Drosophila melanogaster: one gene and its partners. The protein of the gene in region 2 purifies or fractionates together with the protein of the main gene of each other region. This does not show direct contact. Each region holds a gene or a part of one and is shown on either strand. Other genes may lie near its edges.

Region 1 (11,434 bases), on a different chromosome or scaffold from region 2:
GCCTAGATGCGTTTTTATTGTATTTTCGCCATTTTTAGATGCTCGCTTATCAATCGAACTGCGATTCAGCTGAGGTATCTCATCCTGTCTACCCACTGAATTGAAATGCAATCGTCAACAATTGCAGTGGCCATAACAAACAATTGCCGCAATTCGTTTCGTTCTGAGTAATTAACTGGAAATTTCAAAACGAATTGTAGACCTCAGCAGTTTGGATTCCATGCTACTTCTCAAGCAAATATTGTTTTCCGCCTTTCCTATTAAATATATATTTAACCAGCTGCTAGTAACGAGATTTTTGCAAGTGTGCACATTTTCGGCATTATAAATTTCGAGATTTCAAGTTTTTGATCTCCCATTTTTAATGATTCAAAAATGCACGTTTTACGCTATTACTTGAAAATAAACAATTATAATTTAAAAACTTTACGTTTTAATATCATACATATAAGAATAATAGAGCTGTGGATATGGATGACATATAATTATATCGAATGAAAATCTTTTAAATGGGTGTATAAGATAAATATTTTTATCAGTTCTGTGGCTTGATAGCATTGCATTATCTTTGACCCAGATCAAAACAATAATAAAAGATTCGAATACTACTTTGGTTTGTAAAAGCTGAAAATTATTGCATGTAAAATGAAACAAAACTCATTTAAGCCCATTAAAATTCTTTTTAACCGAAACCCCGTTTATCAAACATAAAAAGCCACGAAATTGTCAGGGGAAAAACTATTTTTCACTGATATAGTTTTTTCTAAGTACACGAGTACATGATTTGTGTTATTTATGCATAGCCTATCGGTTACTCATTGCTTATTCCTTTAAACTTCTTCAGCCGTTTTTATTTATTGGCTGTGTGCCACAAAGAAAACTATTTACAAGTTTTTTCACAAGTAAACTACATAATTGAGGGCTCAGAAATGTGTTTAAAATGACCTATAGCTAGAAATTTGAGTTATTTTTTATTTTGTATATATTACAATTACCTACAGCTACTTGCTACTTATACTTATCAGGCTTAAAAACCCTTAAATATATTACTTTACAGTCATACCAGCTTAAATTCAAAAATATGAATTATTTAAAAATATTATTTTTTTTAAATCGAACGGCTGCTTTACTCATTAGTACTTGTACATAAATATTTTATGGATTACTAATTATTTTGTTCCAGTTTCTTGAGCTTACATCACGGAAATTTTGTAAAATCCTCAAATGAACTGCAACTTTGGCTAGCGATAATATATTATTATTTTTGAAAAGCGAAAATGTACATATTGCTATATGTACCATATGCACATATGGCGATTGCGGAAAAAGGCAAATATGGTTGGCTATTCGGGCGGGAGTGGAACGCTAACACGTGTACAATATACCCTTTCACGGGTAACCGGATTGGAATGAGGTGAGCCATGAATAGTGTGACTTGCGCCGCCTTCTGCCTTCTGCCTTTTGGTTATTAACCCACATTGCCGGTGGGTGGAAAACAATGCCAGGCCAAGTTGCGGGCGTCAATCGTTGAGGCATTTCACCGCTCAAGCCTCCAAGCCCCCGGTTTTGCCATGGCTTTTTCTGTTCCCAGCCATTTGCATTCGCAACTAGATAAACAGCTAACGGCGACTAGAAAATAATAACATTAGGCGTTACCATTGACAGTTTGTGGCGTCCACGAGGGTGGTCAGGGGGGTTGGGGGGCGTGGCGCACTAATTTGGATGCGGCTAAGTGAAAAAAGCTTGGGAAAAGTTTTTTTGTCAGCTGGTGGTAATGGCTTTGGTTGTAGCCATTACAATTAGCTTAAGTGATTGATTAGAGACTTCAGGAGATTATTGAACTGTTTTCAAAATTTAACTGAAATTTAGTAAGTAATCCAAGTTACTTGCCTTGTAAAAGACAAGCACCTTAGGTTATCAGTAGCTCTCTCACTTGATAGAGCAATGGAATATTTTTGGAAGATAGCTGGTTCCACCACAGTGGCCACCGTGGCAACAACAATCACACCAACCAAATTGTGCCGCATGGCGCCTCACTTTGCAATTCTAATCGGCCTGTCGAAATCTTTGAGCCTCATATAACCGAAACGGCGGCAATTGGAGTTGAGCGTGAACAAAATGTAACGAAAAACCCGAGAAAAGTTTCGAGCGCCCCGAAAACAGCTAGGCTTTGATTAAGGAAACCTTGAGGAGAAGTTGAATGTGTAAAGGCTTCAAGATATTTTCGTGGTCAGTGGGCGATAACGAGTTAAAGACGCACATCAAAGGCAAAAAATGACATTGAAGTATTGAATTTGGAGATGAAGACAAATACCAAACACCAAAAGTTATATGTTTTTTCAGTAATTTGCTGTACAATAACGTGAAGACTTCAATTCAAGGGATAATAAAAGTTGGTCCACATTGGTGTGTTTTGAATATGCCAAGATATACAGATGAAGGTGTGGCAATGGATCACTTTTTGCCGGACTTTTTGATACCGCCGCCAAGAAGAGGTCCCTTCTTGGAGGCACCTGCCTTGGCCGCCTCCATAGCCTTCTGCTGCTCCTTCTGCTTCTGTTTGAAGGCCATGTCCTCCTCGTCTAGATTCTTCGAGTCCTTCTTGGGCGCCTTTAGAGGCTTCTTCTTACCGCCCTCGCGTCCAGCCATTCTGACTTGCTATTGTCTTTTCCCACTTTTGTCGATTTCTATATCAGTATTTGTCAATGTTTACTTTTTTCACATTCAAGTGACAAATAGATGTTCACATAAGGAAACGCTTTGTCAACATAGAAAATTTAGAAGTTTAAATAACCATATCAATCTGCAGATCTATGCTGCAATTATTTGAAGTTGGGCGGCAGAGAAACTTTCAATTTTTAACACAGAAAGCAGAGTCCGACCGAAAAAGTAAAACTAAAAACCCTAAAGCGACTCACTTCTTGTGTGCAACTCGTTTGTATTTTTTAGAAACCTTGAATACAAGATTGTGTTGTGTGGCCAAAACCAGCTGAGGAACTGGTTTTCGAATTTTTTAGCATTTCTTGGTGACTTCTTGAGTCGTTTTCGTTCATGTTTCTTATTTTCGTTCGCCCACCAATGGGGCTTAAAGTCGCACGGCAAACATCGATTAAAAATGCACAGCTAACGGGTGGTGTTGTGTGTGATATTTTTGGCCAAAGTTTTGCGGCAACAAGAGTTTGTACTCTAAAACAAAAACAAAACAAAATAATAAGAAAAACGCTCGCTTAGTGGGTGTGGAGCAAGGAAATGGCAAGGAAAGGCGGGGCATGGATGGCAATGTTTGCGTTTCGTTTATGCCTTGTCACCCAACCAAGTCGCTCGTCTTGGCCACTATTTATAGCCGTGTTTTTGTTATTATTTTCCATTCGTCGAAATCTTTTCCCCCAGTCTTGGAAGTCGTCACGTTTATCGATTTGCACAGTCCGTCGACGGCGCGCAGAAAACGAAATGTTTTTAATTTTCTTTCTACGATCCACTTACAGACGTGCTTGCTTGTTCGCATGTGCGGCCTTTCTCAAAAGTTCTCTCTAATTAGGTAAATTAAAAATATATCTTGGAATCGTTATATATATATGCTATACATATATGCTTTACATACAGTTGCATTCATTGTGTATGTCACACATGTGTGGCGCACAAATTCTCACACATTCAGCTAGAATTTATTTTCTTGGAAATGTGTTTCGTAAAAGTTCTAAGTTAAGAAGAACATCAAATTGCAAGACAACGCTGCTCATTTTGGGAAACCACACAATGATTTGGCTCATGCCAAAAAATAATAAACAAATATTTCAAGTGGCAGAAACAAAACAACAACTTGTTTGCCATAACAACTGTTGAGTTGCGAAAGTGATAGAATGTCTAGAACGTTACAGAGGTCAACGTTTTTTCTTGCCAAATATTTAATATACATTTCAATTATTTATAGAAGTTTACGATGAAAAACAGTTTTATACCTAGTGTTGTCAGCATTTTATGAGCAATGGTATTCTACGTTCAAAGTCAACTATCTACGGAAACACAGATTATAAAATTCCACAAAACTAATTTATTTCATAAGACATTTAAATTGAAGCGATAAGAGATAATATTTCTTCAAAAATATACAAATTTTCGAGGTCTTAATGTGATAGATTAAAACTTTTGCTTCCTGCTATAGTTATAATTTATTCAATACCTTGTGGTAAAAGTAAAAGGGTCTCAATCGCCATTAAACGCTTATGTGCGAAAATATAAAACATTTAACCATTTTCCCTAAAGGTAACACTTGAATTCCCAATATTTTGCTGGCCAGTGAACAGCTGTTGCGGCACTATATACTTTCGCATTACTCCCGCTGCCGCCAACTATTGCAGCAGTGAAATGGAAATATTGCGCATACGCAGCGTTGGCATTGGAGGGTAACGACTGGATCGCACCGAATGCACACTCACCTGCAGAGGCACAACTTGCAGACGTTGCCAATGCTGCGACTCTTGCTTTTACGCCGATTGTGCTGGTAGAAGACCGTGGATGAGCCATTTTCCGGATCTATGACGGTTGTGCTGTGCGTAGCGCCATTGCTGAGATCCCCCGTGGCAGCAGATCCTCCAGATGCCGCTACACTGCCATCGCCAGTGGTTACTTTAATGCCGGTGGCACTGCCACTCCCACCACCACCGCCACCGATCGATCCCGCCCCCGCGACGCCCGATGACGTGTGCGTTAATTGCGCCAGTTTCGAAATGCTGCTGTAGCTACCGTTTGAGTGTTTGGCGCGCTCGCGACTCCGCTCATTTCTATAACGTATCTGGCCGGCGGCAGAGCCAAAACTGTTGGATCCGAAAAGATTGCCCAGAAAGCTGCCTCCGCCGCCGGCGGCAGAGCTGCCAGCGCCGGCGTCGACGCCGCTGTAGCCCATGGAGCTTTTGCGTCGCCCCCTAATGTTGTTGTTGTTCTGTTTACCGCTCGGTACATCGCGGCGTATGAGCAATTCGGTCTCCGAATCCGTTTCGCTCTCTTCGTCGAAATCTCGTAGCGGTACATTGCTCTCAGCCATTTTCAAAACAAGAGAGCTTAAAAGAGAGCAAGCGTAGTCAGCTTAAAGTAATAAGTTTTGATTAAAAGAGCTGTTCGAAAGAGTTTTGGCGCCTGAATTTAACTAATTAGCACCAGAAATGCAGTTTTACTCTCACTTTCAGATGATATTATCTCAGAAAAATTAAATGCTGGGTACTCAGTTAGTCTTATTGCCACGTTTCCATTGAGCAATTTTCAGGCGTGAACGACGGCTGCTCCTTATCACACCTGGAGTTTTATTCTTTTATTTTTTATTTGAGCGGTAAACAGGTAGGGTAAACACACTATATATACGCGTAAATCACAGGCATTCCCCGTCGTCCGCTTATCAGTGGCTACAGTTGCCGGCTACCAAATCGTCACCATAAATACCAATTGCCTACTATTGCTCAGCGTTTTAATTTAATTGATACGAATTCGATAAATAAAAGGCCAAGGCCCGGGCCACACACACATATGCACATGCACTTCATTTAGCACGTTGGTTTGCAGGCTTTTCGCGTTTTCAATTATTAAATCGATTATCGCACTACGTTTGGACGTTGTTTGGGTATTTGACAACACATTTTTTATTTATTAATAGCCCGGATGTAGCCCGAAAAACATTCAAATCCCGGAAGCAAGTTGCCAGCGAAATAATTTTGGCGAAATGCTAATCAGCTGGCTTTACAGACCACTGTTAACGGAACGGAACGTTTTGCAGCACTGACCAAGCAGTGGCTGTAATATTTTGAGTTTATTAAGGATTTAAAGCAAAACTTACATTTTAAATTATAAAGCAAAAGTTAATATAAGCAGATTGTACAATATTATGTAGTAACAGTAGCACATGGTATAATTTTTATAAGTTAAAGGAGCAATTTATCTTCATACTTTGCAACACTTTTTGGCGCCTAATTCAAACTATAATTAAAACTCATAAAAATACTTTTCAAACAGAATATACAAATAAACTAATTTTGGGGCTCAGCATTATTTCAGAACATATGAAGAAAGGCTTAGGTTTTCCGCATCGTAACCACTTCGTTTATTGTGACCTTGGATATTGTTCGACTTAATCTCTATCGACGTGTTTCTAATGTTTGTCATCCATATTAAATAAATATTTGTCATGTATAAAATATTTAATCTTTATTCGTAGCTTATATTAGCAAACAAACAATAAAAGGGAATTTACACAGAGATCTTAAACAACTAAAAATAATATTATCGCAATGGACTACCGTTCACATATACTTCACCATTGACTTTTATAATTTAAAAGTATACAATACGCGGCCAATACCAAGAAACCCGCTGAGGAGGAGCCGCTAAACAATGCTATCTTGGATATTGGATATAAACGCTGGAAATATAACACTTTTGGGTGCATTAGCTCAGCTGCGCTCAGTTTGCAGAGTTATGTTGGAGTCCGAATTGGAATAGTTATGCTCCAGTCGCGGGCGAAACTCATCCTCGCCATCTGAATAGGACCCCACCGAACGGCAAATGCTGCAAGAATATTACAATATATTATTATTAAATTTTATCCGGTAGTTTTTGTTTTTGGCTCTAAATATATGTATATATAGATTACCGTTGAGTTGACGCATAGCCTTCGATTGCCAGTGCCTCACTCACACCCGGCGGCAACAGCTGCTGGAGCAGTGCATCCTTGACCGCATTGACGCCAGTCGGCAGTGGCACATGATTCATGTCGACCGAAGAGTGCGATTGCGACAGGTGCGGCGCCGTCAACCCATTTGCCAAGCGTGCTTCTCCACAGCCAGCTCCAACTGCAGTTCCATCCCGTTCGTCGACCTCATCCCTTTGCGTTCGTTCGATGTAGCGAAGAGTGCTGAATAGCTCCAGCAGATTGCCAAAAGTGTTTCGCAGATCGCACTGGCCCGTGATGTCGAAGCACAGCTGCGAAACATTCTGGCGCAAAAGGTAGATGGCATACTTTGTTTGCTGCGACGGCAAAATGGAGCGTGTATACAGAGGAAATCTAAGATGGAACAATAAGATACCAAAAGGTAATATTTAGTCTGTGTGCTTACTCTCTTGTTGTGTACGTCAACTCTTTGATATCGTCCACTATCCTTGCTTTCGATGGCTCGTACAGAATACGGTTCCTCAGAGGTCGATCCATAATGATGGCTAACATCTGCACCAAATGGGCAACATAACCCAGTGCCGCACTCACTGCCAGCGGCGAGACGTTATCCAGAAGCTGTGCGTTTGCCGCCTGACGTGACTCGCTCGTGTATTGCTCCATGTGGGGGAAGGCGATGCCGCAGATACTAAATTGCCGACCGCCCACATTCTGGATGTTATAGATCTCCTGTAGCTCCAACACCAGTGTGGACATTCGGCGCTCCACCTTAAAAGGGTGAAAAGGTTTATTAATATACTTGTTTAATGTTATTTGATTCCGCAGCCCCACCTGCCGTTCTATTTGTCTTTTTTGATCGCGCTGTTCCAGATGTTGAGGTGCCAGGGTTCGTAGCTCCAGACGTTCTTTTTCCAGTCGATGTCGCTGGCTGTGGAGCTCCCATTGCTGTGCCTCCCGCTGTTCTCTCATCTCCTTCAGAAGTTGACGGGTGCGCTCGTTTCGTTGGCGAAACGTTTCCCGCTCCGCTTTAAGTAGCCGCTGTTGACTGCTTAGCGCTTCTATCCTTCTAGTTAGCTGCTGGGCATTATAAAGCGTGAGGGGCGCGATCTGCTGCTGCTCGGCGAGCAACACGCTCAGGGCGCGGCCCATGGAATGGTACTGATGGGCGGAGTAGTCGCCGGACAGCGATGTCGTGCGGGGCTTCAAGCGCAGCTCGTTCCTGGTCACACAGTGTACACTGAGGCGGGCTATTTCTCGGCAAACCTCGGCCATTTGACGCCGCTTCTGCTGATGCAAGCGTTGCAGACGTTGCAACGTGAGAAGCTTTTCGAGGTTGTTGCTTCGCCGAATCTCCTGCCGTTGGCACTTCAGCTGTGCATAGCGCATCGTACTCATTCGCAGCACGGGACTCGAACTACGACTAACGGCCGGCGAGTTTATGCCCTCATCCTGCGGCTCTTCTAGTTTCTCTTCCTCCGCATACTTTTGGTAGTGCAAATGCAGCTGCGACTGCAAGGCCTGCTCGCTTATCATCGACGGGGAGGCAAATTGCTCGCCATTCAATTGAAAGACCAAGCAATTTCGTCCGCACTGGGACAATGTGAGGGGAGACAGAGGTATAAGGCCGGAGAAGTAGACGCCCCAGCTGAACAGTAGTTCAGGAGGGCGTGGCAGCCTGCTGGGCGTTAACTGGGATCTTCTGGAAGTAAGTTGGTTGATGATAGCAGAGTTCTATTTGCAAGCAAAGTCTCCTATTTACCCGAAAACATCCTTATGTCTTTGCTCAACCTCAGGCGGTTGGCCATCTCTTCTTTCCGCCGAATAGTGCTTCCACACCTTGACACAGACACACTGCGCATTGGTTTTCCGCCAGGCCTCGTCGTCCGTACAAATCTCCGCCCACTTTTGCTGTTGGTGACGCTGCGGCAGCTTTTCGCTGGTGTAGAACGCTTCGCTAGCCTTGTCCGTGTGTAGTGTGTAGTAGAGGAGCACATCATCCGGATCATCTAGCTCCAGCGACTTCTCATGCGGCCAGGACTCAATATTGAATCCCTGAATTCTGTTAAGGTTCCGCAGTCGAAGTTGCTGGGTGGCTAGGGGCAGCCACTTGCGGCATCGCGGCCGTAGATTCATCGTAAAACGCCTTTCCGGGTGAGCTGCGGATTACGCGGAGCCCGTAGCCCAGATCATTGTACACTAAGACTACGTTTGTTATAGTTTTTCCACAGAAACTTTTAACAAAAAAAATGATTACCCGAACAGCTGTTTTTAGATGCATAAGTGCTGCAAAACACTGAAGGCAATAGTGGTGGGAAATGCGCCGTTCAACTTGTATTTTATTAATTTGGCTATTTTCATTTTATTAATTTACACATTATTTAATTTAAGAATAAATGAAAATTTTATCAATTTGAATTGATTAATAAAAATATAAAAAATATTTCGTTAATTACAAAACACGGGAAAAAATAAATTATTATTATATAGCTTTTTGCAATTTTTAGCTAAAATTGCAGCACAACTAAAGAATCTTTCAATGAGAATCTAGTGTTGAGAAGCGCGAAAAATGCCTTGTTCTGCTAGTTTATTTTGCTTTGTCCGCGGATAAGGAAACTTGCTGCGAGGACTACATTCCAAAGTTGACTTTATTATGAGCCAGAACGATGATCAGCTACATTAGAGATGCAATCATGTCACCGACAACACGCAGCAGCTCGAATAACAAGAAAAGCAGCCAGCCAACAGGCGAAGTTCTCAAGGATGTGAGCTCATCCGAATCCAGGGGAACAGCAGGTGCTCCAATGCGTGGCTACAAGGTTACTGACAACGAGCGAACGAGGAAATACGGAATCGGAGCCAATTCCCTGGAAATGCTGATAGCCAAGGCAAAAAGCAAGTTCCCGGTAAGAAAAAAAAAACAGGAAAAACTCCTGCGTAAAAGCGCGAAATATACACCCACCCACGTAGATGGGCTGAAAGTTCCTGGCTCTGGTAATTTTCAAGGCCATGTCCCTGGCAGTGGCTTCCGCGTTTGTTTGGCTCTCTTTCAATGCCACTAGTAAATGCCAATGCGCATGTCCTGTATAGTAGAGCTAACCACCTGTTGATGGAACGTCCTTGCCTGGCAAAAAAAAAAAAAGAGAAATGTGAAACAAACTGAAGGCCCCTGAACCAGGAATTGGGCGACCTGGCCTCGTTATAATTCGGCCATGTCAAGGGCATTACAATTAAATCGTTTTTTTTTTACCTTTTAGCTTCTCGAGCCACATTTGTATTTGGCTTCTGATGGCTTCGAGGTGTCCGACGATGAGTACTTAAAAAGCCTACCCGCCCAGACGCTGTTCATAGTGTCTGGCCCGGATGCAGTCATTACAACAGGTGAGCTGCAGTTTAAATATTTAACTTAATCACAATTAATCTGTCTTCTATTAGATGCCGATTTTGAGTTTGAGAAGATGCGACAACAATCGCCTTTGCTAAAGGTGGCTGACATTTTCTACGATTTTATCGAACAGCATCCGGAAAAGTTCCGCCGCATGATAACGGAGTATGAACACCAAAAGCAGCGACGCGTCCTGGATAACAGCAAGACCCACCTCAGCTTAAAGGCCGAGCACGTGGAGTGGTTCACGGGCGGCGAGGAGCGCTTCCACTCTAAGGAGGAAGCTATGGCCACACGTGCCCAGACACGTGTGCGAGGCTACTACTATAAGGCCAAGGAGGAGCTGACCCGCAATCCCTTGTACCGCCAAAATGCCAAGGCCCGACAAGTGATAAACTCTGTGCTGGAGAAGTTTCGATACCTGCTCATCGGTTGCGACTTTTTCTCCATGATGTTTGACCGGAATTGCAAGCAAAAGCATGAATTCCTGAAGCAGCACTTGGGCGACGAGGAAACAGACGCTGGCAGGATACCCAGCAAGAGACTGAGGCAGGTGATTAGGGAGTACACCAAGGAAAACTGCATCCTCGACGAATGGTCCACTTCCTTGTGCTCCGACTTGGGTGACTTCTATTGCCAGGGCTCCTATTCGGAGAATGGCAACAGCTGCTCTAAGCAGCACACTATTAATCCGTACGCTTCGCGTGAGAATCTCATTTTGTTTCAGGTCTGGAATCTGGACCACCAAATCGAACTGTGCCGCACAATCCTTCCCGCACTTGTTGCAAATGTGGAAGAACTTGTGAGTCATCCGCAGACCAAGTGTTCAATTCATAAGAAGCAAGTGGTCGATATCTCAGTACTGGAGTACTTTCTAGAAATATTCTCCCTAAAGAATCTCAAACTAGTGCACATTGTCTGTCATGAGAAGGCGCAGCGCTCAAACCGTTCGAATGGTCGCCTACTGTGCTCCGACTGTCATGAGTATCGCATTGTGCAAGAGCTGATGGAAGTCCAGGTGGACAGTCTAGCCACTTAAATGGTATGTGAGAAATATATAAAAGTTACCTAGCCAAGCAATATTGTACACAATAACTTTACAAAATGTATCTACGAGTTTTGTTGCTATTTTTAAACAAATATTGTATATTCAGTTGTTAAGCATATTATATTGCTGATCTCATATGGGATAAGTTGTACAAATGGAAATTATCTCGATGCCAACTATAAAAACTTACTGTTGAAGGTTTTTCATAGTAAATACGTAAACTATTAACATACTTAACATATGCATTTAATGTTCATATAGCTTTTCAAACTATTCAAATTAAGTGACTATGCAATATCGGTATATAATCTAGAGTTAAAAGTTAGTTGATTGTAACGCTAGTAGCTAA
Region 2 (10,506 bases):
TTCTGAACCAGCGCGATGACTCGAAAGAGTTCGACGAGGACGTGCAACTGTCCACCGAGGAGCCCAAGTTTATTGTCTGGCGGAAGGGCAACAAGGTGCTTTTGCGGCTACAGTTTACCCCAGCAGAGGAGCTGTCCGGATTAGCAGACGTCGTTCTGGGCTTCTATATGCAGTACACATACGTCAACACCGTAAACAATGCGCAAGAGAAGAGGGAACCCACAACCCATGTGCTCCACTCCAGGGTGTTTATCACGGCGGGAGCAACTGAGCAGAAAGCCAACTAAACTGGAAACTTATTAGCCAACAGGCGTACTAATCGACTTATGCGAAATATGAAATATGCTTTATGAAAGCTAGAGAAATATGTATTTATTTATTAATCCGTTCGTGAAACAGCAGCTAGTATTCAAGTATAATAAAAGGCTTGTTCTAACACTATTCGTTCTTCTTTAGTTATTAGCTTCCAGCTTATCTAATCCGGTCCACTTCTCGCTCTCGGCCCACAGGAACTTGGCAACCTTATCGTCCAAGGCACCAGAAGCCACAGGCTTTGGTTTGCAGTCACTGAAGTACAGGCCAGAGATGTTCTTAAGCTCCGGATCCAAAGCAGCGTAAATCGAGGTCTGAGCTCCACTCTTCGGTGTCTTTAAAAGCGGCCAAATCATTGGCTTTAAAAAGAACCTAGGAAGGTTAACAGGTATTACTGGGAAGGTCCTAATTCACTTATTCATCACTTACTTCACAAGGTTTGTCTGGAAGAAGGCCCAGTTCCGCGCCAGCTCAGTGTCCACCACACCAGGGTGAAGGGCATTTACTGTGACTCCGCTGCCCTCCAAACGCTTGGCCAATTCCCGGGTGAACAGGACGTTGGCCAACTTGCTCTGGCTGTAGGCTAGGCCCTCATCATACGACTTCTCGCTGTTGAGGTCGGCTACGTTAATGGAGCCACGCGCATGTGCCAGACTGGACACAACGACAATGCGACTGGGAGCCGAGTTCTGAAATTTTGTAAGACCATTATCTGACGCACTTGACTATTATATAGCACACTTGCCTTCAGTACGTCGAGCAGCAAGTTAGTCAACAAAAAGTGACCAATATGATTTACTCCCAGCTGCAGTTCGTAGCCATCCTTGGTTAGGGTCTTGGGACAACGCATCACGCCGGCATTGTTGATCAGGACGTGAAGCTTGGGTTGCTCCTTCTTGAAGCTGATTGATAGGATAGGTTTTTAAATCTTACAGAGACAAGAAAATTCTCTGGAGGTAAGCTTACCCATCAACAAATTTGCGAATGGAGTCTAGGGAACTTAGGTCCAGCTCTCGAGAGAATATATTCTGGTTATTTGTCTCCTTGATGATATCCTTGCGGGCCTTTTCACATCGGTTCATATCCCTGCAAGCCAAGTACACAGTTCCCCCACGTCTGGCTATCTCCAGAGCCGTCTCCTTGCCAATGCCCGTGTTGGCACCGGTCACAATGAATACCTTTCCGGTCTCATCGGTGTCCTTCGTAAACTTTCCACCTTGCATGTACTCCCTGGAATTATCAATAGGAATTACCTGAAAAGCTGTTATCTATTACCCGGGGGAATCATAGTAGCGAGTCATGGATGCGTAGTCACACTGGTATATTTCATAATTACACGAAATAATTACCGCAACTCACTTCAAGAAGTAGATGCCCACGCCGATAGTAGCTGGCCACATAATCAAGGGGCTCAATAAGCAATCGATGAAAATGCACATTTTGAATATCTTTGTACAATTCCTTGTATTTAGGGTGTTGTCAGATCTTATTTCAATCGTTGAGTGCGTTCTGGTACGAACAGCACAGCTGTTAATATATTACTGAGCACAGCTACCCCACACAAACATATATTATCGCTAATTCGGAGTGAGAACCTGACGAAATGGAGAACGTCGGGAGAGAGATTCTTAACGAAGGTCAAGAGAAAACGAATTCTCAATAATATGTTATGATAGTGGAAAGCATTCAAACAAATAAAAGCAATTCCATTGATGTTTATATTTACTCAATGGGTATATTACGCGTGGAGTAAAAGGGTATAATAGGTTCGCTGAACAGTATGTAACATATAGAATAAAGTTTATATTTAGACTTGATCAGCAACACTAGTCAAAACGATCCATCCAGCCATATCCGTCCGTTTGAACGTCGAGATATAGGGAACTAACTGATTCGTTATGTTACATACATACTTTCCAACTAATTTAGTATACCCTCCTACTCCAGGAATAACGGGTACAAAAATAAAGCATGAATCATCCAAATTGATTCCATCACTTTTACAAAAAAAACAAAAGAATTTGACCATTTTTCTTTAGTACTGAACACAGAAATGCAACAATGTTGATCTCAAAATACAAATTTTAGATTAGGTAAAGCTTTTTTGGGAGCATTTCTTTATTTTCAGCTTGTAGAATCCGTAAGAATTCTACAATTCAAACATAAATTATTACATTTTGCGTTAGTCTTCATTATGATAAGCTATTAAAATAATAAATTATGAAATGGCGAGGGATAAACTAATGGTTGCTTAATCAACTTTGGTTGAATTCACGCCGGTCCACTTCTCGCTCTCCGCCCAGAGGAACTTTCCAGTCTTGTCGTCCTGGGCAGCTGCGGACACTTCCTTTGGCTGGCAGTCGCTAAAGTAGAGCCCGGAAACATCCTTTAGTGCAGGATCCAGGGCTGCGTAGAGAGTGGTCTGCGCTCCATTGCGAGGGGTTTTGAAGAGTACCCACAGGAGGGGCTTGAGCAGTAGCCTAAGCGATACGAGTGTTAATATCAAACTCAAGTAGTGCCCACTTATGTCTTCTATCTTACTGTGCAAAGGGGTGTTTCAGGAACTTCCAATTCCTCGACAGCTCCGTGTCCACGGCACCGGGATGTAGGGAGTTGGTTGTGACCCCCGTTCCCTCCAGGCGCTTGGCCAATTCCCGGGTGAACAGGACGTTGGCCAGCTTGCTCTGACTATAGGCACCGATTCTGCTGTACGACTTTTCACTGTTTAGGTCGGCAGTTTTAATGAAACCTTGGGTGTGCACCAGGCTGGAAACGTTCACGATGCGACTGGGTGCAGTTTTCTAGTGAGATTAAGCAGGGAGTTTGGTTAACAAGGTGCTAAGAAAGTCCTGAGTACCCAAAATACCTTCAATACGTCCAGCAGCAAGTGGGTGAGCAGGAAGTGTCCCATATGGTTGACTCCCAACTGCATTTCGAAGCCATCCTTGGTCAGTGTTCTGGGACAGTGCATAACTCCTGCATTGTTTATCAGGACATGAAGCTTATCCTGCTCTTTCTTGAATCTAATAAACGAGGGAAATCAGTAACGCATTCGTCGATCTATCATGTTTGCGTTTACCCAGCAGCGAATTTGCGAATGGATTCCAGCGAACTCAAGTCCAGTTCTCGAGAGAATATGTTCTGGTTATTTGTCTCCCTGATAATATCCTGGCGCGCCTTCTCGCACCGGTTCATATCCCGGCATGCCATGTACACAGTGCCTCCTCGCTTGGCAATCTCCAGGACCGTCTCCTTGCCAATGCCCGTGTTGGCACCGGTGACAATGAACACCTTGCCGGTCTCATCGGTCTGCTTGGTGAACTGACCGCCCTGCATGTATTTTCTGAAATTCATTAATTCTTATCACTCTATTTCAACACAGGCCGCAATTCACGAGCGTATTAATCATTACTCAGCAGTAGAACTATTCCATGCAAATACCTTAGCAAGTAGGCAGCCAGTCCGATAATGGACGGCCAAAAATGAGGGGGCAGCACAAGCAATTAGTAAGGCAGCCCATTTTGTTTGGATACAGTATAGATCTTGCCGCCGTTTGTGTTCGTTTCACTTGCTGGTTCTGTCAATGAATGTTTGCCCGTCCGTTTGGAACTGCCTTTTATACGAAATGTACGCTATCTGCTCCAAAATACACGAAAGCCACAAAACGCTTACTCACGATGAGTTTGATTCGAAACTGCGAGAGAACGAAATATGTTTGGGGTTTGCTGAGAGCTTTTTGCTTCTAGTTTATAAAAACCTCATTGCAAGTCGAGCAAATGCATGATAAGCTAAATAACTATCTGCAAGTCTAATTTAATTAATACCTAATCTTATAATACCATATTATTCTATTATTATTATTCTTATTTATATTCTATTATTTTCGATTAGTTTTTCACCTGCTTCTATGACAGCTCATGACTTAAACCGAAATCATATATTGCTAAATAGTTCAGATTCTAGTGACGCCAAGGCAACGTTAACTAAATGTTTATTTAAAAAATGCAATTACTAAATCAGTTTATTTAAGATTACTCAGATAACTGGTTCCAAGACTTCCAGCCAAATGTTTTTAAAATGTTTGTAATGTTTTTACAAAAGTTGAACAGAACATCTAGCTCATTTAGCTTATTCTATTAAATGTATTTCAACAATACAGGGTAAGAGTTAAAAGAGTCATAAAGTTGCTCATATATTAATTCCCGTCCACTTTTCACTTTCCGCCCATAGGAATTGGGCATCATCGTCATACTGGGCGGCCGAGCCCACGTGCTTCTGCTTGCAATCGCTGAAGTATCTTCCAGATACTTTTTCCAAACTGGGATCCAGGGCAGCGTACAGGGTCGTCTGTGCGCCATTCCTAGCCGTCTTTATGAATATCCATATAATAGGGGCTATGAGCAATCTAAAGGCGAGCCGAAAGTTAATAGCTGATGGGATGATGCAATCAGCAAACTTACTTTCCAAACCACGAACCCAAAAAGGGTGTATTGCGGAACAGTTCCGTGTTTACTACTCCGGGATGTAGGGCATTTACCGTGACCCCTGTTCCGCTCAGGCGTTTCGCCAACTCCCTGGTGAAGAGGACGTTGGCCAATTTGCTCTGACAGTAGGCCATCTTTCTGTCATAGGACTTTTCGCTGTTCAGGTCGTCACGCTTAATCCTTCCGAAGCGGTGAGCAATGCTGGACAGGACCACAACGCGACTGGGCGCGGAACTCTTCAGGACATCGAGAAGCAGAAGTGTGAGGAGGAAGTGGCCCATGTGATTCACTCCGATTTGCATTTCAAATCCGTCCTCCGTCAGCATTTTGGGGCAGTCCATAATGCCGGCGTTGTTGATAAGAATGTGAAGCTTGTTTTGCTCCCGCTTAAAGCTAAAAAGTATTAAATTGAGTACCTTTATTTATATGTGTATTCATTAAGGTCAATAGGAATGTGCTTACCCAGCAGCGAAGTTCCTAATGGACTTCATGGAGCACAGGTCCAATTGGCGTGCGAAGATGTTCTGGTTGTTGGTCGCTTTGATGATCTCCCGACGGGCATTCTCGCACTTCTTCATGTCCCGACAAGCCATGTACACGGTAGCTCCCCTGCGGGCCAGCTCCAGAACGGTCTCCTTGCCAATCCCCTGGTTGCAGCCGGTCACAATCGCCACTCTGCCGGTCTCATTCGTTTTCGTGGTGAACTGACCTCCCTGCATATATTGTCTAACTGGCTGAGGTTAAAGGGCCATCACTGAGAGTGGACAAAACTCACCGGAGCAGATAGATTCCGATGGCCGAAAGAGCTGACCCATATGCCAGCGGGCAGAACAGGTAATCCGTGGGTGCACTCATCTTTCCGCTCCGAATGCTACCAGCTCCAAGTGGCGACTGGCCAGATCCAGTCCCCTTACACATTTCTTTATACGAGCAATATCAAAACCTCGGAATGTCCATACTTGAAACATTAACGTGGACCGGTATAAAACATCGTTTTAAGTTTAAGGTTGGAGGGTTTACGATTGCCGCGTCGCCGAGGGAAACGGATGCTTCCGTAAGTTTTTATCGTCCGGCCAAAGTTTATTATGTAAGCTGTATAGATAGAATCATAATAACCGTCGATCATAGGGTAATGTAGATATAGCTAAAGTGTATTACTAGAATGAGTTTCAGACCTAGGCTTTCAGATCGTCTTAAATGATGAATGTGGGAAAGCTCTCTATAAATACACCTTATTTAAGGCTCTGTTTTCACAGCAATCGATTTGTAAAAATTACATTTAATGACCAGCTTCTGCGATGACGAGGGGAAGTAGTTAGTCTTCCATGTTATTAGCTTGCATAAATTAAATGAAATGATAATTTTTGGGCAGCAGCTCCGTTTATTTTTGGATTGAGCAATACTTACTTAATTTACCATGTAATTTGTTGGAGAGCCTTTTGTTTTGTTTGGGCCTTTTACTTTCATTTGGCCATTTTCGTTAATGCGAATAGTACTAACACCCGAATTCGATTCGATTAACATACTGGCCGGAATACAATGAGCACAGGCTCGCATTCACCCGGAGCCATGTGGTCCGCCACCAACTTTCGCAGGCATCAAAGAAAGCCAAACCAAGTTCTCCATCGGTGGTTTTTCAAGGGCAGTGCCTGGATCATCTACGAGCAATATCAAAACCTCGGAATGTCCATACTTGAAACATTAACGTGGACCGGTATAAAACATCGTTTTAAGTTTAAGGTTGGAGGGTTTACGATTGCCGCGTCGCCGAGGGAAACGGATGCTTCCGTAAGTTTTTATCGTCCGGCCAAAGTTTATTATGTAAGCTGTATAGATAGAATCATAATAACCGTCGATCATAGGGTAATGTAGATATAGCTAAAGTGTATTACTAGAATGAGTTTCAGACCTAGGCTTTCAGATCGTCTTAAATGATGAATGTGGGAAAGCTCTCTATAAATACACCTTATTTAAGGCTCTGTTTTCACAGCAATCGATTTGTAAAAATTACATTTAATGACCAGCTTCTGCGATGACGAGGGGAAGTAGTTAGTCTTCCATGTTATTACCTTGCATAAATTAAATGAAATGATAATTTTTGGGCAGCAGCTCCGTTTATTTTTGGATTGAGCAATACTTACTTAATTTACCATGTAATTTGTTGGAGAGCCTTTTGTTTTGTTTGGGCCTTTTACTTTCATTTGGCCATTTTCGTTAATGCGAATAGTACTAACACCCGAATTCGATTCGATTAACATACTGGTCGGAATCCAATGAGCACAGGCTCGCATTCACCCGAAGCCATGTGGTCCGCCACCAACTTTCGCAGGCATCAAAGAAAGCCAAACCAAGTTCTCCATCGGTGGTTTTTCAAGGGCAGTGCCTGGATCATCTACGCAATCGCCTGCGGACTCCACTTCTTCAAGCTGCACTACAACGAGCGCACCAATCAAGTGGAGGAGTCGCAGTACCATCGAATATGGTCCAAGATCGTGGTTGTCCTCAAGGTCATACTGCTGGCCAGCCCGTATCTACAGTACTTCGTACTCGGACTGGGCATATACATCCACATCACACTGGTGCAGGACAGCAAGGCGCAGAACTTCCTAATGAGTCTCATTGTGCTCGGAATCGTGATAGGCGTCCTGCGGCGCCTACTAATCTTCCTGCACCTGAAGAGGGATCGCAGGTTCCTGAAGCATACTGTGAACGAGATCCTGCATATAACCAGCGCGCTGGAGCAAAAGTTCGGTATGGAGTATAAGTGCGACTCCACATTGCTAGTGGTGTACCTGGCTAAGCTGTGGATACTCACCGTCATGCTGGATTCCTTGTGGTACAAGCCCTACTTCCTCTCGTCCATCTTCCTCTACTGGGTGCTGTTGGAGTACTGCTTTGCTGGCTATTTCATTTACCAACTCATCCTGCTCAGCTGGTACCACACCATTATTCTGTTCCTGCAGCGCTTCATCGAGGACCATGCGAATCGGTTGGATATTGAGCTTCACTACCATCGGCGCCTGATCCCGCTCTTTGAGCTCCATTTGCGCATCAACAATCTGCATAAGCACGTTAGGGACAACGTCTCCTGGCTCTCGACCTCTGTTTACCTGATGATCTTCACCTGCATCTTCAACGCCGAACTGCTCATTGAATGCAGTCTGTTCGCCGGAGACGAGCTGGAGAACAAGATCTACATCATCACGGACGGTTGCTTGGGACCCGTCTGCGTTCCGATACTGTATGTGCTTATCCTGGGCATGTGCACCGATCGATTTCGCGATGCTGAAGTACAGCTTCAGCAACTGTTCGTAATCGTTCAGGGCTTGTATATGAGGAAGGTCAGGCCACACCTTCTAATCGCAATGGTTCTCGAAAACGAGGTGAGATCTGCTTCGGCAGCTGGCTTCCCTGGCCGACTTCTCCAATTCATTCCCAATTACATTTCCGCAGCACACCTCGTTGATAATTCACCAGAAGCTGAAACCGCTCGAAAATATGATCATCCTAGACATCACTTGCGACAGGGAGTTCGTCATGGACTACATTGTCACGGTGATCCTTACAGCATTGTCTCTTGTGCAGTACACCATATCAACTGGAGGAAATATAAGCGAGTGCGTGACCCATAAATAGCAACCCATCTGGACCACACTATTAGGAGGATGAGATCATTATATAACTGTGGAGCTGGACACAGTTATCGTATAATTGCGTGGGTCAAAAGAACTTCCTTAGCGCCTACAAAAGTGTATCTTTTGAAAGCAGAACTCAGAGCTCGTAATTATAAAGCACTAAATGCTTACTATTTAAATGCTACAAATGGTTTTATTGTTTTTATACAAAATTAAGGTTTATTGACTGTAGTAGTAAACTTGTCAGATACGTGGTTTTACGCACTGCGATTCAACAACACAGGATTTCCCGTTTGCATAGAGAATTATGAGAATTCGTTCGTTTCAAGAAAATCCCGTGACTCTAATGAGAACAAGAAAATGCTGTCACTGTCGATTTATCCCTTTAGTTTCGATTTCACGTGATGCTTAAGGTCCTGTTCTCGTTTCCTCGGCAGACAAGAGATGCTCAATTGTGCATAAGATTTGCCACACTGGAGCCCAGTTTTATTTAGCTTACATATAGTTTAAATTTTATTTAGTAAATATGACACATGTTCCTATCTAACATATTACCTGAACTAACTATACGATTTACTTGTAAAGTAACAATCAACCTAAATTATTGTAGTTAAGGTCCACGTAACAGGTAGGATATATGAATCAGGATATCATGTTCCTCGACTAGCAAATCCTTTAATTGTTCTTATTACCTAGTACAGGCCATTGAATCTGGTATATCCTATTATACTAAGAGTGCGTACTTCAATAACCACGGCTGTTGTGAAATTTAAGTGGCTTTAATTGCGACTAGCCCAATCACACTATTCCAGTAGCCCATTTACAGCGCAATTTTCGCCCACTTCTCGGACTGCGCCCACAACCACTGGGCCATCTGGTCGTCGAGGGCAGCGGGAGCTACCGGAGCCAGAGCGCAATCGCTGAAGTACTGACCCGACACTCTTTCGAGATCAGGATCCAAGGCAGCATACAAGGTGGTCTGGGCCCCGTTCTTAGGCGTCTTCATCACGGCCCAAAGGAGCGGCCTCAAAATGGTTCTAAATGAAAACCAAAAATTAGTAAGTGTATAAAAAGAGAATTGAAAGAGGACACACTCTACCACATACTGAGCAAACTTTGTTTGGAAGAAGATCATGTTCCTGGCTATCTCCGTGTCTGCTATTCCAGGATTAAGGGCGTTGACCGTCACGCCCGTTCCCTCCAACCGCTTGGCCAGTTCGCGGGTGAAGAGTATGTTGGCCAGCTTACTTTGGCAGTAGGCTACTCCCTCGTCGTAAAAATCAGAGCTGTTGATGTCATCCACCTTAATCTGACCCCGTTCGTGGGCCCTGCTGGCGACCACCACCACCCGACTAGGAGCCGACCTCTCCAGCACGCCGAGCAGTAGGTTGGTTAGCAGGAAGTGTCCGATGTGGTTTACACCCAGGTGCATTTCGAATCCCTCTTTCGTCAATCTATGCGGTTCCCAAAACACACCAGCATTGTTGATGAGGATGTGCAGCACCCTCTGCTCTTTCTTGAAGCTGTTTGTGAATGAATTGTTAGTTCAAGAGAAAGACACTACGGAGTGGCATGACTCACTTCTCTGCAAACTTTCGAATGGAATCCAGGGACGACAAGTCGCACTCCCGTGAGAAGACATTGGAGTTTCCGGTCTCCTTTACGATTTCCCTGCGCGCTCTCTCCACCTTTTCTTTGTTGCGGCATGCCATGTAAACGGTGGCTCCTCTCCTGGCCAACTCCATCACGGTCTCCTTGCCAAGACCCGTATTTCCGCCAGTAACGATGGCCACTTTTCCCGTCTCATCGGTCTGCTTCCTAAACTTTCCGCCCTGCATATACAGCCTGATGTGTGTTAAAACAATGCATGTTAATCGGTGATAACTACTTTGTCGTCACTTTTATACGTCGTCGATAACGCTTCTCAGCGTTACATTTTAAATTGGCGTCTCACTTACCTCACGCAGAAGGCGATAATGCCGACAATCCCATGGGCCAAGAAGACGGGTGCTATGCTTTGCAGAAACCTTATAACAATTTCCATACTGGCTAAGCGGTCCGCTCCTTCTTGTGGT
Region 3 (11,087 bases), on a different chromosome or scaffold from region 2:
GTCAGACAAAGGAATTAAGCAAAAGGCGGGCGAAGGAACAGCGCTGCATGCACATAAACGACGAGCAACGAACAAACACCATTGTCAGCCACAATTATCCAGGCAGGTGCTTCGAACCCACAACAAAATCCGCCAAGGAGGTGGATTTATGGGCGGGCAGGCGTTGGCCCAGGAAGGTGAATGGGCACCTGGGGAATATACGCCTTTTTCGAGCGGTTAGCGGATGATGTGGGTGTGGCAAACAATGGCTGAATGGGATCCCAGTGGAGAGCGGGGAGGGGGGTGGTGCTAAAACTAGGGTGGCTGCAATTGATAGTGTGTAAGCCGATTGCTCAAGGCGGCAAAAGCTGCGGAGCATGGGTTCAGGCGGATCCAAGTAGTTGGCTGAGTAGCTGGGTAACTGGGTAGCTGGGTAGCTGGGTAGCTGGGTAGCTGGGTATCTGAGTATCTGGGGAGTTGGCAAAGCGCAAATATCCCATTTATGTCAATTCGCAAAGTTAAGCGTGAAAGTAGGAACTCAACTTCAAGGTTTTCCCCCAAACAGACGCTAAATTCCAAGAGATAAACAACGACTTGTCGGCAGTCAGCGAAACAGGAAGCAATGGCTCTTGGTAAACAAATCCAATCAATTTTTTCGGTGCCTTTGGTGCCTTGGAGCTTGGGCAAAAGCCATCATAGGGGTTCTGTTCTTCAATGGGTTAAAATATAAAAACAAACTCAAGCACTTTGTGTAAATTGTCGAGCCAAAAAGGGAATATAAGCACATGAATTTTGATACACAATTTATTCTTATATCGTATTTTACTAATTAGACTAATGGAAAAGACCTAACGTTTTGAATTTGGATATATTTGGATATATTAAAGAGCCCACTAAATATTTGCAACAGTTTAAATCCCGTCCTACATTTACAGGAGCATCCTGTTCCCCCTTGGAACCACCCGCACCAGCAGGATCAGCCCGGAACACTTAAGCCCAAATGGCAACACAAACACACGTCCTGGAAAAACCAACAGCCGAAGGATGACAACGGCGACACTTGAGCAAATGCGTTTGCCGAATCTTCCTTTATGCCTCCTGCCTCCTGCCACGCCCCTTGAGCCGCGCCCCTGCCCTGCAAAGTGGCAGGCAATCTTCGGAAATTCCTCCGCAACGATATAATGTATACGCTCGATATTTACGCATTTATTTATGCCGCTCTTTATTGGCTTTTTATCGTTCATTTATTTTGCTCGTTATGTTCGCGTCGTCGTAGTCGCGAACTCACGCCACCCAACTTATTTGCCCAGCTATTTTTGGACTCACGAGCGGAACGATAGGAGTGTACACGACATGGAATAAATGCATGCGTTGGCCCAGCGGACGGAGGATGGGGGGAAGATGGGCATGGCTTATGCGAACATCGATCATCCGCCAGTGAAAGGTCGTTCGAATGGAATGCAAATGAAGCTTTGGTCACCGAAATTCCCGCGCTGATTGATAAGCGCCATCATCAGCATCATTACCGCCATTATCATCCGCTTCCACTCGTCCCAAATTGATATGCAAAGTGTAAGCAAAGTCCGTGTTACTAACACCTGGTCCCGAATCCCCCACCACCACTGCGCCCTCTTGGCAGGCGAATCACCTAGCTCGGGTTCCACCCTCCGCCACCCTCCACCTTCCATTCCGAACCGAAATTTAATTAACATTTTTAATTCCTCCACTTGGCGCGGCCAAAGAAAGCCCTTCCACCACTTTCCTTGGCGGAGGGGGGGGGGGTATATTATTAATAGATTCAGCTAAAAAAAAAACAGTCTAATTAGAAGCTTAGTCGTTCCACAAACGAGGATCTAATGTCTCTTTCCTGAGGAGAAAGTGAGTTTAAACACAAAATGGGTATTCAAATTTGAAATCAAATACTTAGCAATATACTTAGATGTTTTGAGAAATCAATTTAAAATCAATCAGTATATGGTAACTAATTTTATTAAAGCAGCATAAAAAGCCATGCATTTATGATATCACAAGATATAATTAAAATAGGCTTATGGTGTTTAACCTCATATCAAATGTATGTACACAATAAAATGAATATTCTTTCAAAAGTGTCACTTTAATTCGTTTTTATTTCCCATTCATTGCCTTTAGACCACCCAATTTCTCTCTCTTTACTCTTGGTATTCGATGTATGGATGTGCAGAAATCATTTTGAAATGGATCGTCTGTCCAATGAACCCGGTCTTTCCAGTGAGTGTGCCGTGCCCTGGTCAGTCCGCTCACTTAAAGCTGCAGTGTGGATGCCATTATATGGACGTCTTTCCCTACTCCCATGCAACTCTTTGCCTTCTTCCCATTGCCCCCGACTGTCTTCACTTCTCCCAACCGCTGACAAATTCGCTTGGGGCTACTCTGCTAAAATTCCATTGAGTCCCCATACAATCCCATACAGAAGCATAAGCACTGCCACTGCTACATCCACGATGACCGCGCAGTTTTGGGGGCTATTTGCATGGGGACACCTATTTTTAGCTAGACAGTGGAGCAATGACTCTTTTATGCCCCGCGAGTGCGAATATGCCATTGGTAGCAAGCCGAACTGATTTTGATCGTTCTTGTGCCCTATAAGGATCAGGATCATCCAATCTAGGTTTCTTTAATACTAAAGAGCTGTATGCTCCGTGGTGACCTGTGCCACCTACGAGTATAGCCTTAGTTTGTTCTGCCGGCCAAAAGGCCATTCCAACTACTGAAGAACATACATACTCGTACATGGATTTGAGACCACCGAGAGCTGCCCTTCAGAAACACACACACATTTGTGCGGCGGGTGTAACCATGCCCATAGGAGGCAATCGGTCTTGTGATAGGGAACACTTCCGACGACCTTGATCCGAGCACAATTTGGCCCCACTCATTAAGGCGATGTGCACAACGTACGCGAGTGTTTCAGATTAATTAAAGCAGTCGGGCCAAGCCAAACAGCGTCACCATCAGCCGAGAAATACCGACTGGCTGTCTGAGCCCCGCCACCCACGGCCATTGGTACCTAATCAGATATGTATGTATATCGATGCTACTGGGAATTTGACTGTGCCTGGGACTGTTGTTTCTACTGGGAAAGTGTCATGGCATGGGTGAAACACATTTAACGCCTCGAGCCATAAATTACGAGCCGTGCCAGCAGCAGTGCTGACAACATAAATCTGAATTAGTGGCAAGCGGGGCAGCAAGCAACAAACAAAACCGAGTATCGATCTCACGATCCGTGGTCACTTAATGCCGGTACCTCGTAAATGGTATTCATAACTCTCACCCGCTCCACCAGGGATTCGGCGCGGCGCGCGAAGGAGGCGCGTTTATCGGCAATGGACATGGTTGGACTGGGGCTCTGGATGCGGTTCAGGATCGGTGACTGGGACTGGGCTATCCGGAAGATACTGGGAACCGACAAGTCACGCGGGGGTGTAGGTATCACCGGGGAACGCAGCTGAAATGAAAAGAGGCAGAACTTTAAACAGGCTGTTATCTATCTAAGGCACACGATCGATATGGTTTTAAGTCTGTAATAACTAAGCAAATATCGCACGGCACACGCTAAGTCGAATCATATGCAAATACAGTGGACATCAACAAGACCCAATACCAATACCAAATACTAGTTGCTAGTGCAAGTACAATCTATGCAGGAGCCATCTTGCTAGCCGAATTCCTTTTATTTCTATTCTTAGGGTTAACCAATTGGTTTATAGTTCATATAGCATTATTTGCCAAAAAAAAAAAATATATATATATATAATGGCAACATTCGAGGTGGAGGTCCCGGCCCCAAAAGTCATGAAATCTGCCGCGTATGTGTTTTCATTTTTGGCGAAAACAAAGAAAGACTCGGCGATGAAATGCAATTAATATGCAAGTGCCACTCATTGTGATGGTACTATTCTGGTCTATTACCTTATGGACCGAATCGCAATTATGGCGCAACTTCAACTTTGGACTCGAAAGTGTCAGCCACCGAGCTCAGCATAAATATTCGAGCGGAAATTATCAACAACTGACATTAAAATCGGAGCGGGAAAGACGCGACTTTCGGCCGGAGACGATCGCATGCGATGAAAACGCGTCCAAGTCGGAGGAATACCGCCGTAGAACTGATGACACACCCGGGCCGAATGCTCGACTTTTGTAGCGTAGCGAGCATAAAGAGAGTGCGTTGAAATGGGAAATTCATTATTTTATTTTTAAACGTCGTCGCCCTCTCTATTTTCGCAGATTGGCTTTTCCTCGCTTGTTTCTTGTTTCGTGGCAGATTGATTTATGGATTTCGGTGCAACAGGTGCTGGCCAGTTGACAGAGCGCCGAAAGTCCGCCGGACACACCCACTGCTTCCAATCTGGAAAACTGATTGGGACACAAAGCTGCATCCAATTTGCATAATCCCATCAAAGAGCACTTGCACCCAATTATGATAATTTCGGCTTGACGCACTAGGCATTATTGGCTTCGAAAAATTGGAACTGCAGTTCAAATTCAAAAACAAGGTACGGAGAAACTAAAACAAGAGGGAACGCTACAGGCGAGTTCCCCGACTATTAGATACTCCTTTCTCTGCTAGTGAAAGTTCAAACATGAATTTCAACATTTTCTGACATAGCAATAAAACTAAATTAATCTCTCTTATATATGTAGTTCCTGAGATCTCGACGTGCATACGGACGGACATGGCCAGTTCGATTCGGCTAGTGTTCCTTACCAATATATGCTTTATTGGCTCGAAAAACACTTCCTTTCACCTGATACATATTCGTTGAAAAAGGAATCTAGAATACTTCTTTTTTAATCTACGAGTAATATTTTTCATCGCGACCCGTTCATTAATCATTAATCATTACTAAATCTTACTAGTTCTGCCATTTGGTCTATAAGACATATTGGAATTGGAATGCAATTCAATTCATTTTAGTCTAGCGTTTGTACTTTTAGTAGAAATAATTCTCATATGGATGGAAGATTTCAATCGGAGTATTAAAACCAGCCCTCATTTTCTAAAATCGTGCAAAAAAGATATGAAAATTAAAGTATTAAGTGCCATTAATGCCATTAAGAATAGGTTTGGTTTTATTTTTCACCAGCCCACTTTTCAGATTAGCAATGCTAAACTCTCAGCATTACCTTTAAAAAATCGTTCTCATTTGCGACTAGTTCGAATATCTATCTACATTCTGCCGAAACTAACTAGAGAAAAACTGAAGTTCTACGTATGTAAGTATAACACATTTATTCTACACAGCATTAGCGAGGTTACACACCTAGCGAAGTCATCCTCCCAATTAAAATTTCCCTAAGCGGAGCTAGTCACCACGACCACATTGCCACTTTATTAAAACTAATAACTGTTTAATAACTGTAATAGAATAAGTTAAAATAATTAAATAATATGACTAATCACGTGTTGCTAATACAGTTAAAAGGCTAATTATTTAATTTAATTAATGTTTTGTAAACAGTTTCCATGCAGATGTATTAATAGTTTCCATGGCAGACTTTCTGAAAATGAACATTCTAAAACTTAGCGGAATTTCCCCTCTCTTTCTAACGGTTATTTGCTATGCTTTCAAGCGAAAGTAATCGATGGTAGCGAGGAGCGTATCGATGTGCGCCAGTTTTTTGGTGGCAGCGATGGTATCGCACACACATCGATTCTAGTGCCAGCCCTATTTTTTGTGCAATTATTTATTAAAAATAAGCAACGACGTGAGCGAACGACACGACCCACGAACGAAGGCAACGAAATGGCAACGCGCGGCGGACCAATGGTCGCGGGCACCGATGGCAACGACTTCGAGTTCAGGCAGCGCGTAGCTGGCACATATCAAATTAGGTTAATAACACTTCGTGCTATCGCCAGCTCTCAGCTACACTCGAAATTATCTAATTACTGGGGCGCCTGTGGCAGTAGATCCACCTGCAGGCGGCACCTACTGCAGCCGAATCGCAGGTGGCGTCCAGCCAGGGCGGCGGAGCACCCTGGAGCTGCTGCACCCACCCACTTGCTGCTGTAGGGGGCGGGTGGGCAAAGTGCCAGCTGGGCAGCATGTGCGCCCCAATATGGGGCTCACCCACACAGATCCGCCACTGAACGACCACTTTCTCTGCTCTTTTAGCCTGCTGAACAAGTCCAGGTTGAAGTACTGCATCTTCTTTCACGCCCTGCTGTTCTTCGTGATGCTGGCCAAGCTGACGTCGGACATTCTGGACCACCTGGATATCTTTGTGCTGGAGATCGAGGAGCTGGAGGTCCCACCGCCCCTGTGGTGGGAGTACGTGTGGGCCGCGTCGTTGCTCACCTCCTTCCTGGGCCTTTCGGCCGCCAGGGGCAACAAGGTGCGCGAAATGCAGAAGTATATGGTGGCCATACTGCTATTCGCCATCCTGCCACTCTTCTACTGCTTCGCCTACTACTTCTCGGACGTGTGGGAGTTCGCCACGCTGGACAAGTCGGTGGAGCTGGACGAGACAGACATCTTTGTGTGGCGCGTAAGTGGCTGGGCCAGTTAATCCCTCAAGAGCCGCCCTACTAAACCTCGGTTTTTCTACAGGGTTATCCGTACGGCGTCTTCTGGTATGCCTTCTGCTTTGTGGGCTTCCAGGTGCACGGATTTACGCTGTACTTCGCCTACAACCTGGTCAAGGCCTGGAAGGCCAGAACTGCCACGCGCAAGTTCCAGTAATCTAAATACTCGCCAAACTAGTAAACGCCGGAATGCAGGGCTAGTTGTAAATAATTTGGAAACTTGAAACTAACTCAAAACACTAGTGCACAAAAGCGTAATGAAACTATGGTAAACTAAAGTTATGCAGCTGTTAAGGTATCGCACACTTAGTCATACAGGAAGGGAAACATATGGTCGAAACTGAGCGAAGCGTCGGCGGTAAGGTTATTGTTAGTTGAAAGTTAGTTGATACCGTTTTCAAATTGATTAAATAGACTCTTATCCATATACACATGTACACCTATACACATAGACATACATATATACACACATACGCAGCCTTGTGAGGTCAACTAAAGACAAGAAGCAACTGAAGCCACCAAATTTCCCCGAGTCGGAATAAAAACTGAAAACCAACCTAGAGATCACTTCATTTTTGCTCACTTACATTTCGACGTGCCTCGTGTTTGTTAGAAACGTTTTATATATATATTTACACATGAAAATATGCGTACATCAGTTTATGTTTGCGTCCACGGATGGTTACTTCCTCGCCTAGTTGATAATTAGTTCACTTTTCTACAAATTTCGAAACCGTTTCATTTTTGCCAGTACGTTAATTTTGAATTTTATTCATCGAACCGCACAGTGCCATGCTTTAAGGCGTCTGGCCGGGTGCTGAACGTTTGAGAACTGCCCCAAACTATTTACAACCTTCTGTCACTGTTTACACACTACTATAAATAAGGATTGAAATGCAATTTGAGTGTTAAAGCAAAGTTCTTCAATTTCTGATCGTCAATAATACTGTGTAATGACAGGCATGTCGCCAAACTAAACTGAGAATTGAATTTTAATGTAATGATGTTTTTTAAATCGTAATTTATTATTCGAATTTTTAAGTAGTTTTTTAAAAATCGATCAATAAAGATGCATATATATTTGTTCTTCTGAGTGGGTTAAACATAGCATTTTATTGCGGTTGATTTAAAACAAATTTTGATAAGTATACCTATTAAGTCACTTAATGTTTATATGCTCATCTACAATATTTATCATAACTTTAAAGAGGCAAATACAAGTTCTCAAGCTTTATTTCTTGAAAAACACCACCAAATAAGGACCTTCGCCCAAAGCAATACAATCCAACACAACCCCACAGGCCGTTGCAATGCGGCTGGCAGGCCGAATTGGCCACAACAATCCAGTTTTAGTGACCATTTGTGCATCGAGGCGAGTGGAGGAGCAACAGCAGGCGAGCATTGCGCAATTGTTTACAATTGGCGACGGAGAGCCAGGAAGCTGAGACAGAGAGAGAAAAAGCTGTGGCGGAGAGCCAAAGCTTTTCCGCAGCATCCTTTTCTCCCTGCTCCGCCCGCTCTCTTAATTTTCCATTTGTACATTGCCTGTGCGAAGAACGGATGCCGAATTTTCCAACACACCATTTCGGACCGAAGTAAACACGAAAACTAAGGAAAAAAAATTGTGAAAAATTCAAAATTACGAAATTACTCGCACTAAATTTAAATAATAAACGACTGGTGGAGCAAAATGCGGGTCGAGGAGGCGACCTATAGGCGCACCACGCGCGAGAAGATTGTGCTGCGAGGGAACACCACCATACGCACCGTGGACTCCACTTCCACATACCTGCCCGTGATGAGTCCTGCGGGGTGAGTGCTTCGCAACGGCAAAGGTCCAAAAGGGTGGGTGCCAGTTGGAGGCGCAAGGCGTGCCGAGACACTTGAGCGTTCCATGACTGTCGCCCCGCAATCGATTTTTATCTCGCGCTGCAGCTGATTTTTAGATACATATACAGATACTATATGTGTGTGCGCGCATCCGAAACGGCCTTCGCTTGTGGCTCACCTCCGGATTATCGGGTTCTGCCTACATGCACATTGAAATGTGGACGAACCACTTCAAGCCTCCTAATGGCGGTGCTCTCAAACGTATGCTATAGTTTCTGGGTCCTCGGGGGAGGCCAACTCAAGAACCGGCTTTCTTTGGCCGCATGCAAGCCTGCCATTAAATTACATTGCCGGCAGATTATTGGGAAACCACTGCCGTTTGAGTAAATAGTCGGGCATACGCGAGTGAGTGAACGCCTTGCTTTCCCCAGAAATCGATGAAATCTTGAGCCAGAAGCTAGCGTGCATTGACCACAGTCCAGCGCGTTGGGTAACCCGAGGAGTTGAGAGTGCTGTGGGCTTACATAGAAGCACGAATGTCCTTTAGACAATGAGGAAACTTCGATAAGCAACTAGACATTAGTAGAAATATTATATATTTCATTTATTTATATATTGTATATATTCTTTTTTTTACCTATCAATAGCTATATACAAGGAGCATATAAGCAGAACAAACATAAACCCATTAAACTGAAATCCATATATTTGAATTTCAATCAATATTTAGAAAGATGGCATTTCCTAGCTCCGATCGGCGATTTCTTTATTTTCCCCCAAGTCGAGATACTCTTTCCCCGTAATTTACCATGATTGAAACCGCCCCCCAAAGTAGCGCCCAAGCGAAACTTCCTTTAACCTCAATCCGCATTCACACGGACGCACACCAGGCAACTGGGAAAACTACCCGGTCCGGTCCGTTCCATACCGGAATGGTAGTGGTGGTCGGTTTGTTGTGGACGCGTCGTCCAGTCAAGCGGTCAGTTTCAGTTGGACTGCAACCCTCGAGTCGGCTGGTCGGGTCGCGTTTTCGAACTCCGAGTGCGAGCCAATCGAAGGCTCCAGGCGCAGACTGTCAGGTAGCAAAGTTTCCGCCCGAACATATCCGCGTGTGTTTTTAAATTAATAGTGAAGTGTCTGTGTCTCGTCCTAATCTGTGTGACGCCGGCACAGCGCCATGTTCAACACCAGTGCACAGAATTGGTTCGGCATGGGCCAGACAGCCGTGGATCCGAGCGGCGGAGTGGCCCAGTTGCTCAACAACAATTCGAGTCTCTACAATCAGCAGCAGCAGCAGGCGGCGGCGGCGCAACATTCCTTCATGCGCCAGCGATCGCTGACCAGCTCCAATCCCGTCCTGGGGCGTTCAAACGCCTTGGCCACGCGGCCCCAGTCGCCGCCCAACGTCCAGGTTGAGTACGAGGTGGCGGTACCCTTCGTTCCCACCTACCGGCACACTCCATACCACTCGCTCTGGGATCTGCACCAATGGTAAGAGCTAGTAGAGATCTGTGGGCACAAGAAATCCACTATAAATTGGATTACTTCCGCATTTGAATTCCTTGACCTGGCAGTTGGTAACTAGCTCGTTGGTTGGTCAACTATCAACCCAAAGTATTTCCTTTGTTGCATACAAGAAAGCCACCGGGTACCTTCTTGACCCCATCCAGTTTCCTTTCGCGAGTATATTTCTGCCAGTCATAATTGGCATTTTGCTGTAATTTGCATAGTACGAAATGTCTTGTGTTGTGCCAATGGGATTAGCATAAGCACCCCTTGGTGACACGATTTCAAGTGGCCCATCATAACTACGAGTCCAAGGAAATCCGCCATCACTGGACTTTCCCATGCCGGGGTTTTTCCACGCTCAATCCGGCCTTGTAACACTTTGCCAATCAATCAATTGCTCAGTTCAAATGCAAGTAATTCCTAGATTATGGCCCATTGATTTGTGCATAGTAATGGGAACAAATAGGCAGTGGCCTAGTTAACCGCTCCACTAATCATTCCCATCAGGAATCAGGAGCCGAGAATCAAAGAAATCGTGGGCGAGCACATGAAGGAAACATTAACCCAAATTCGAACGAGTACAGCCCGCAATATAAATACCAAGCGAATGTGCCAGGAGTCAGGCAATATGGTCGGGAATTATGGCTGTGCTGCTGCCAACTTAATTAGCCAGGCGTAAAATATATTGCGGCCCACTTTGCAGATCGAGATTTACATTGTTGCCGCCGGAATGCTCTCAAAGCCTTTAATGCCTCCAGATGACGCATGCAAAGTCGAAAACACGTCGAAAATACAATTCAAATGCGAATACAAAAGTTAACAATTGTCGCCGACACGTCAATAACCTGGCCAGGAGCCAACGAGTTTATTGACCCCACCTGCGGTTTGAATAGGCGCCCCCATGGGAGGCGCCACTAACTCTTCGTTTCCCGGAAATTCCCGAGCATTGTCTGCGGAGTGGCAGGGTAGGGTAGGACAGGGCAGGATGGGAGGGTCCTCCGCAAGGGCTAACTAATATTAGGCGGCTAGACACGAGGATTCCAACCGGTATATGTGTGTGCACACACCAGGACACGCGAGCCACTTGTCCGCGGCTGATAAAGCAAATGACCTTTGCGACATGGCCAAGTTGAATGGCAGCTCCATGGAGCCACCTAATAGTTATGGGTAGTTAGCTATGAGTTTTAAAAATGAG

Evidence for each region.
Region 1: the proteins of CG2070 (region 2) and CG31729 purify together in Drosophila melanogaster (affinity purification with mass spectrometry, with the first as the bait; one large-scale study listed by BioGRID). This does not show direct contact.
Region 3: the proteins of CG2070 (region 2) and jagn purify together in Drosophila melanogaster (affinity purification with mass spectrometry, with the first as the bait; one large-scale study listed by BioGRID). This does not show direct contact.

The regions. Positions count from the first base shown.
Region 1 is NT_033779.5:13,284,294-13,295,727, reverse strand, and holds the start of CG31729 (uncharacterized protein), read right to left. Parts: upstream 5,732-11,434; 5' UTR 5,042-5,731; coding exon 4,437-5,041; intron 2,720-4,436; exon of another isoform or gene 2,650-2,719; coding exon of another isoform or gene 2,455-2,649; exon of another isoform or gene 2,313-2,454; intron 99-2,312; exon of another isoform or gene 1-98. Other genes in the region: CG16824 (uncharacterized protein), read right to left, coding at 2,455-2,649; Uvrag (UV-resistance associated gene), read right to left, coding at 6,438-6,552, 6,638-7,048, 7,101-7,423, 7,487-8,354, 8,415-8,788; Drep4 (DNA fragmentation factor-related protein 4), read left to right, coding at 9,319-9,558, 9,910-10,033, 10,088-11,076.
Region 2 is NT_033778.4:7,657,182-7,667,687, reverse strand, and holds CG2070 (uncharacterized protein), read right to left. Parts: upstream 5,834-10,506; 5' UTR 5,652-5,833; coding exon 5,572-5,651; intron 5,523-5,571; coding exon 5,259-5,522; intron 5,190-5,258; coding exon 4,773-5,189; intron 4,718-4,772; coding exon 4,501-4,717; 3' UTR 4,280-4,500; downstream 1-4,279. Other genes in the region: DCTN4-p62 (dynactin 4, p62 subunit), read left to right, coding at 1-287; Rdh1 (retinol dehydrogenase 1), read right to left, coding at 453-684, 742-1,001, 1,058-1,214, 1,279-1,542, 1,672-1,751; CG2065 (uncharacterized protein), read right to left, coding at 2,564-2,792, 2,854-3,113, 3,179-3,335, 3,392-3,648; Grl43a (gustatory receptor-like 43a), read left to right, coding at 7,100-8,179, 8,250-8,432; CG30495 (uncharacterized protein), read right to left, coding at 9,252-9,468, 9,526-9,954, 10,013-10,276, 10,390-10,475.
Region 3 is NT_033777.3:5,773,657-5,784,743, forward strand, and holds jagn (jagunal), read left to right. Parts: upstream 1-5,658; 5' UTR 5,659-5,771; coding exon 5,772-5,860; intron 5,861-6,143; coding exon 6,144-6,516; intron 6,517-6,578; coding exon 6,579-6,710; 3' UTR 6,711-7,652; downstream 7,653-11,087. Other genes in the region: kat-60L1 (katanin p60-like 1), read left to right, coding at 9,561-9,874. UniProt on the Drosophila melanogaster protein: Required for endoplasmic reticulum organization and proper vesicular traffic during vitellogenesis. Required for oocyte and bristle growth.